Cricetulus griseus: one gene and its partner. Each later gene encodes a partner of the first gene's protein in a complex. Links are inferred from orthologs where the notes say so. Each region holds a gene or a part of one and is shown on either strand. Other genes may lie near its edges.

Region 1 (3,511 bases):
TCAGCAATAGCATCTCAGTTGTTGCAACCCCAGACCAACTTGTGGGTTCCTCATCTGAAGTTTTCAGTTCCTTTTTAATCTGACTCACGTCCTTCACTGCTAGCCCCATAACAGTTACCCTAGAAGTTTCTGCTTTAATTCTTCTTAAGATTTTTGAACTGTCTTTATTCTGCCTTCCTGGGGTCTGGGAAATCTTCCAAAACAACTCAGCTCTGTGATTCTGTGCATCATTTTGCCTATTCACTGGCCATCTTAGGTAAGTGACTCTCATTGCTCCAGGTGTGAAAGGGGTATTGTTGTTGTTTTTGTAGCCTGTTGAACACTACTGTCATAGATGGGCATGGTGGCACATGCCCATGCCCTTAATCCCAGCACTGGGGAGGCAGAGGAAGTGGATTTCTGTGAGTTCGAGGCCAGCCTGATCTACAGAGTGAGTGCCAGAGAAACCCTATCTCAAAAAAGCCAAACAAAAAAAAAAAAAGAAGGAAAGAAAGAAAAAAGTTTTAAGTCTCAACCCTTCCCAGGGCTTGAGGAAATAGTTTCTTAAAGAGTTTTTCCTTGAGTTTCTTAGTCCCCTTCCTATTTTTCAGTGCTAGTTATCAAATCTAGGGGATTGCATGTGCTAAGCAAGCACTGTCACACCCCAGCTTAAGTCCTCACCCACTGCCCACCCCTTTTTCCTTTTTTGAGACTTATGTGTTTCTCTCTCTCTGTCTCTCTCACTGTGTATGTGTGTGTATGTTTGAGATAGTCTCTTGTGTCCCTATTTGTCTTGAACTCTGTGTAGCCAAGAATGATGCTCCCTTGTATCTCCTGAGTGGTGGGATTACTTACAGCAGACTTTTAAAAATGATATTTATGTATTTATTGGTATGAATATGGGTATGTACATGTATGCACCTATGTGCCATGTTCTACCTGGGGCGGGTCAGACAACAACTTGGGGGAATCATTTCTTTCCTTCTACCATGTGGTTCCCAAAGATCTAACTCAGGTAGTCACACCTAGTGGTTCCCAAAGATCTAACTCAGGTAGTCACACCTAATGGTTCCCAAAGATCTAACTCAGGTAGTCGCACTAGTGGCAAAAACCTTTCCCCATTCAGCCACCTTTGCTAAGAGACTACTGATGTGTAACCCAATCTGGCCTCAAATTTGCTTTTGTAGTCCCAAGGCTCACTTTGAATTCTGGATCCTCTTGCCTCAGCCTGCTAGGACTACAAGTGTGCACCACTGTGCCTAGCATAGTCTCTCTTGAAGAAACCTACACAGTTACTATAAGAGGTATTGTGTCCCTTCCCAATCCTGTGATATAAAGGCTAACTCTTCACTCTCCCAATTCCCAATTTCTCCTTTGGTAGGCAGAGGTAGGATGCAAAGTTAGGAGAGATCACTGAGTGGATTTGAATTTGCCTCGACTAGTTTTATATCAACTTGACACAAGCTAGAGTTATGTGAAAGGAAGGAATTTCAATTGAGAATGCCTCCATTAGATCTGGCTGTAGGGCTTTTTCTTTAAATTTTATTTTTAAAAATTTATTTTGGTGGCTGGAGAGATGGCTCAGAGGTTAAGAGCACTGGCTGCTCTTCCAGAAGTCCTGAGTTCAATCCCCAGCAACCACATGGTAGCTCACAACCATCTATAATAAGATCTGGTACCCTCTTCTGGCCTGTAGGCATACATGTAGACAGAACACTGTATACATGACAAATAAAATAAATCTTTAAGAAAAAGAAAAAAAAAGCATTTTATTTAAAAAAAATTATTTTGGGGACTGGAGAGATGGCTCCGTCGTTAAGAGCACTGGCTGCTCTTCTAGAGGTCTTGAGTTCAATTCCCAGCAACCACATGATGGCTCACAACCATCTATAATGAGATCTGGTGCCCTCTTCTGTCTTGCAGGAATATATGCCAGAACACTGCATACATAATAAATGAATCTTTAAAAAATTATTTTTTATTTTATATACCAACCCCAGTTCCCTCTCCCTCCCTTTCTCCCACCCCCCACTCATACCTCATAGAGAGGGTAAGGGTAAGGCATTTTCTTAATGATTGATGGTGAAAGGCCCAGCCCATTGTGAGTGGTAGTCCTGGGTTCTATAAGAAAGCAGCTGAGCAAGCCATGAGAAAGTAAGTCAATAAACAGCACCCCTCTATGGCGTCTGCATTAGTTCCTGTGGTTCCCGCCCTGTTTGAATTCTTGCCTTGGCTTCCCTCAGTGATGGACTGTCACCTGGAAGTATAAGCGGAAATAAACCCTTCCCTCCTCAAGTCGCCTTGATCATGGTGTTTCATCACAGCAACAGAAACCCTAGGTAAAACAGTAAAGTCAAGTGAAAAGAGATAGAGTCAAAACTGGAAAGATTGAAGCCGGGCGTTGGTGGCACATGCCTTTAATCCCAGCACTCGGGAGGCAGAAGCAGGCGGATCTCTGTGAGTTCAAGACCAGCCTGGTCTACAAGAGCTAGTTCCAGGACAGCCTCCAAAGCCACAGAGAAACCCTGTCTCGAAAAACAAAACCAAAAAAAAACAAAAAAAAAAAACAAAAAAAACAAACAAAAAAACAAAAAAACTGGAAAGATAGATACGCTTGCCTTTTTGTTTTGTTTTGTTTTGTTTTGTTTTTGTTTTAGGCTACCACAGAACCAGAATTTCCTGCCAGTCGGCTTGCTCTGCAAAATTTTGACATGTCCTACGGTATACAATTTGGGGATCTTTGGCCATCAATTCGTGTTAGTCTTCTCTCAGAGCAGAAGTATGGTGCATTGGTCAATAATTTTGCTGCTTGGGATAATGTGAGTGCTAAGCTGGAACAGCTGAGTGCCAAGGACTTTGTGAATGAAGCCATCTCTCGCCAGAAACTGGAGCCTGAGAGTGACCTTTCTCCAACTCCATCCCCGGACTGCAGTCCAAACCTCCGATGCTTCACTTTTTCCAGAGGGGATGTCAGGCGCTTCCCTCCTGCTAGGTAGGATCTGGAACCATGAGGGTCATCCTCAGTCCCTGCTAGCAGTGGACATGAAAAGTTGCTCAGCTACTGCCCACTGTAATAAAAATCGGAATTGTTAGTTTCTCTGCTGTGCTTCAACAGACTAGGTGTCTAAGTGCTGTCTACACACCATCTCTTTTGGTTCTGTTAATACCCTTATGGAAATATCTGCCCTCTTTTATAATTGAGGTACAAAGAGAGTAAGTGGTGTAGCTGGTATTCAGACCCAGGTGGTCTGAGCCCCAGAACCGGCACTGGGAACCTGTTCTGACATACTGTCTTCTGTGGAAAACATCTGCCTTTCACAAGAGCAACCCACTGTATCCTTCCCAGTGAAAATGCACCCTCCTCACTGTGTGTCCCGCCAGGCCCCTGTGAAAGTAAGACCAGAGGATGTGGACTTGGTAGGAAATAGGGGTTGCCTAGGAATGCATGTAACAGATTTGAAGAAAGACAGAACTTCCAGTGTCTTGAGGAGGTGCTTATGTGTGTGAAATGCAGTGAGAAAAGACTGCACAG
Region 2 (4,024 bases), about 410 Mb from region 1:
ACATGCGGAAGCAAACAACTGACTCTAGAAGTTGTCTTATGGCATCCACAAGTGCCCCAGAACCTGTACAACCACCAAACACCCACTGATACAGATACACACACATACACTCCGAGGGGTGGGGTGGTGGGGGGAGAGAGACAGGAGAGGAGAGGAGATTCTTCTCAGATCCCTACATCCCTAACCTGGCCTCCAAGTGGTTTATTGTGAGCTACATTAGTAACCGTATTCAGACAACTGGTATAAACAGGGACTGTCCCAGACAAAGGGGAGTAAATGGTCTTATTATCGTTGGGCCAATTTTGTTACGAATATTGGCAAGTTTAATAGCTGCAAACTTAAAAACCACTTAGACTGTGAAATAGTTTCCCAACAGCCTAGTTGGCCACTGTTTCTGTCTCACTACAATGTGAAGATAAATTTCCAAAGGGTAAGCTTTTTTTGTTTGTTTTTAGTTTATGTTCCCCACCACCACCACCTTTGGTTTCTGTTTTTTTTCTTTTTTCTTTTTTTTTTTTTTTTTTGAGATAAGGTTTCTCTGTGGCTTTGGAGACTGTCCTGGAACTAGCTCTTGTAGACTAGGCTGGTCTTGAACTCACAGAGATCCAACTGCCTCTGTCTCCCAAGTGCTGGGATTAAAGGTGTGCGCCACCACTGCCCAGCTGTTTGTTTTATGTTTTTTGTTTTTTGTTTTTTTCAAGACAGGTTTTCTCTGTGTAGCTGGGACTATCCTGGAACTCATGGCGATACGCCTGCCTCCACCTCCCAAATGCTGGGATTAAAGGCGTGCTCGACCACACCCAGCCAAAATGTGCTCTATTTTCTTCTCTCAAATTGTGCTGCAATACTGACTGAGCTTAGACTTAGATGACACTGTAAAAGAAAATCTGTCAAGAGGAATATAGTTATCTTTTTGTTTATTTTCTAGAGAAGGCGGCCTGTAGAGACACCAAGCATAGTGGACTCTAAACCTCCCTACTTATGGGTAAAACTCTTACCAGGAACAGTTAATAATAAAGAAATAAAACTGGTCAAATGGGTAGAGAAGCCTGGAGATCCATCCCCATCTCCCTTCTCCAGAAGAACGGCAACAGTCAGGAGAAGGGAGAAGGCCTCTCTACCAGCTTTTCAGGGACCTGGCACCACCACCACCAGGTCAAATTTCTGCACGGCATGTTTTTGCAGATGTCACATGTATGGATGCATACACATATACCGATACCACATAGCAACACTAACCCACCAAAACCAGACTTCATGTCCCCACTGTTCTGGAGCTAGAGACCTCAATGAACAGAACACACGGGACTTGTTTTGGCCTGGTTCTCTCCTCCTGGCTAATTTCCTCTCATCCCTCTTACAATGCCTTCTGCAGAGGGCCCATCAGACGTTTCCTCGGAAAACTTTCCTACCTCACATCACCTTACTAAGGTGTGTTTAGCCCGCAGCCCGCATGCTTCTAGGACAGCTACAAATGCAGCCTAACACATTTGTAGATGGCATGGCATGTCACAATATCGAAAGGCTGGCCACCCCCGCTAAGCAGGCTACTTCTTCACTAACTCTGACTCCCTCACACTACCAAGTCTGCTGCTTCATCTACCTTCTCCAAGCCCAAGCTTCCGCAGGTAACTGGAACGCCTCTTCATCTGCATCGTGGACAGTTTCAGTAACTGTGGACTTTTCGTCACGGCCACAAATACAGGTTCTGGGTGCAACCCTAAGAGTAGAAATTCTGAAATTATGTCCAGCAACTGTTGAGGATGGACACTTGGCTGTAGGCTGAGCAAACTGTTAACATGGGCTTCATCGAAACCCATGTCCTGGAGGGAACTGGTGACCTTTTCAAGCTCCAAGGACTTGGGCTCCACACTCGTCCCCCGATCCTCATGAAGACACTGAACAAGATGTGTCCTGTGCTCTGGTGCCAGCACATACTTTTGGGGTCTAACACAGGACGACTCTCGAAGGCTCTCTCCACCGGGTACTGTGGTCAGTTTGCAGAACAAGGCAGGACTCATCCTTTTCCGTTCTCTGAGATGAGAAGTCTGCCTAGACAAACAGGCCCAGGAGAGGCCCGTTAGACGGTGCCAGTCACAAACCTGTAAGACAGCCCAAGCAGAATCAGCTCTACCTCAGGATAATGACCACCACAAGATCACTGAGCCGGAGTATTTTGGCCCATAAAAGCTCACAGTTTTTATAAACTATCCGTAAAACCTCTGGTCCTAAAAAGTCTCCACGGAAGGAAATGAGCATGTAGACAACAGCAGTTACTGAAGACGCGGGAATCGGGCACGACCAATACTTTGAGCTTCACGGAGGGCTGCTAGTCACTGACGTTTGGTGGGCACTGAAGCGCAGCACATAACGAGTTACGCACCCGGTGCCCGCCACACCGGCCCCCAGCCCTCTCTAGCGTGGCCAGCCCCCTCTCCCGTCTCGGGGGTCCAGGCCTCCTGGGCCCACAGTCGCCACACTGGCCAACTCCGTAGAAGCCAGCGGCTCATCTCAGGACCAGGCTGTCTGTGCACCCGCCACCCGGGAGCGCTACCGCCACAGAGTGACCGGATGTGGCCACAAAGCAGCAGCGGCGGTGCCTCCTCCCCGTCCCGTCCCGTCCCGTCCACGGCCGCTGTGAGCCCGGGACCTACGGCAACCTCACCTGCCGACCCAGAGCAGCCATGAGCCCAAGCGGCGAACGCAACCGGGACACCGGAAGGGGCGGTCCTTCCTGGCCCACAGTGTCCGGCCTCCGGTCTGTGTCCGCCCACTCTCGGGTGACAGCGTTCCTCAGTTCCGCCGCCAATCCTTTAGTCCCGCAGGCTCCTGCCGGATGCAAGCCGCTTGCAGATGCAGCTCCCCCCAACTGCGCAGCGCGTCTCTGCCACGAACAAGCAATGCTACCGGGGTTTCTCAACTGCCCTCCTTAGTTCGGGTGAAGCTAAGCTCACACCATCTTTTCCTGTTGTCAAGTACACTGGCGGGAGAGGGAAGGGGGAGCGAGAACGGACGGGACACAAAACACACACAAAAAAAAGCATGCGTTAGATTCTAGAAGGCCAAATAACCTAACTGTAATTGTGGAACCTAATTAGCATGGATTATTTTTACCCTTTCTGAAGTTCATTCACTGTCCACCCCGTCTAACCGAAGTTTTGTGACTATGAGGGTCTTTAATTTTGTTTTGGGTTTCTCTGTGTAGCCTTGGCTGTCCTGGAACTCACTCTGTAGACCAGGCTGGCCTCGAATTCAGAGATCTGCCTGCCTCCTGAGCACTGAAATTAAAGGTGTGTGCCACCACCGCCCGGCTTTTAAAACATATTCTTAGATCACCACTGGTTTTTGCCAATCCAAAAGCTAATGGTATCATTAGTTAACACCTAAACTACTGTAGGTAAGTGTTTTCCCAGTTTTGCTTTAGCCTTCCTATCTGTGATCCCTACTGATGTGTCTGGTAAATGACTTAATTTATGACTTTGTTCTGTAACTAGTAGTATCTCACCTAACTACATCGACGATGGAATCTCTTGGAGCAACCAAAATTCATGTGCTTGGGCTCACCGTTTAAGTGAATACTGTTTTTGGCAGGCATTGTAATATAGCAATAACTTCTCAGGACAGCCCAAACAAAGTTCTTCCTGCAATGGTAAGATGGATCCAGACCCAGATAAAGTATTTGGTAAGTTATATTGTTTAAAAATCTGTGTTTAGGATCAGCAAGATGGCGAAGCAGTTAAGACACTTGGCTGCAGCAGCTTGATGACCTCAGTTTGACCCTAGGAGCCCATGTAAAAGTGAAGGAGCAAGCCCACTTCACAGAGTTGTCCACTGACCTTCACACATACAAAATGGCACACATGCCCACATAATAGTTTCTTTTTAATTCTTTGTTCAACATGAACACCTGGCCACACACACTAAAAGAAGTCAGTCTTTTAGAGGCTGAAGAGATGGACCAGCAATTAACAGCAGTTCAGACTCCAATTCCCACATAAAAAATCCAGGTGTGGTCTCATGCATG

Evidence for each region. Proteins that work in one complex are often made in the same cells at the same time.
Region 2: the proteins of Nsun4 (region 1) and Mterf4 are in contact, whole or in part, in a crystal structure (PDB 4FP9), measured with the Homo sapiens proteins. The link is inferred for Cricetulus griseus from reciprocal best matches to the Homo sapiens genes NSUN4 and MTERF4. Residues at the interface, in NP_950245.2 of Homo sapiens: Pro61, Ser62, Arg64, Val65, Leu68, Ser69, Glu70, Arg136, Gly137, Asp138, Ile139, Arg141, Asn367, Leu368, Met369; in NP_872307.2 of Homo sapiens: Tyr267, Glu269, Arg270, Leu271, Gly272, Arg273, Glu311, Glu312, Val315, Phe316, Lys318, Leu319, Arg322, Glu323, Glu326.

Annotation. Positions count from the first base shown.
Region 1 is NC_048595.1:36,285,635-36,289,145, forward strand, and holds part of Nsun4 (5-methylcytosine rRNA methyltransferase NSUN4), read left to right. Parts: intron 1-2,636; coding exon 2,637-2,971; intron 2,972-3,511. UniProt on the Homo sapiens protein: Mitochondrial RNA cytosine C(5)-methyltransferase that methylates cytosine to 5-methylcytosine (m5C) in various RNAs, such as rRNAs, mRNAs and some long non-coding RNAs (lncRNAs).
Region 2 is NC_048595.1:444,768,149-444,772,172, forward strand, and holds the start of Mterf4 (transcription termination factor 4, mitochondrial), read right to left. Parts: upstream 2,811-4,024; 5' UTR 2,687-2,810; coding exon 2,666-2,686; intron 2,103-2,665; coding exon 1,604-2,102; intron 1-1,603. UniProt on the Homo sapiens protein: Regulator of mitochondrial ribosome biogenesis and translation. Binds to mitochondrial ribosomal RNAs 16S, 12S and 7S and targets NSUN4 RNA methyltransferase to the mitochondrial large ribosomal subunit (39S).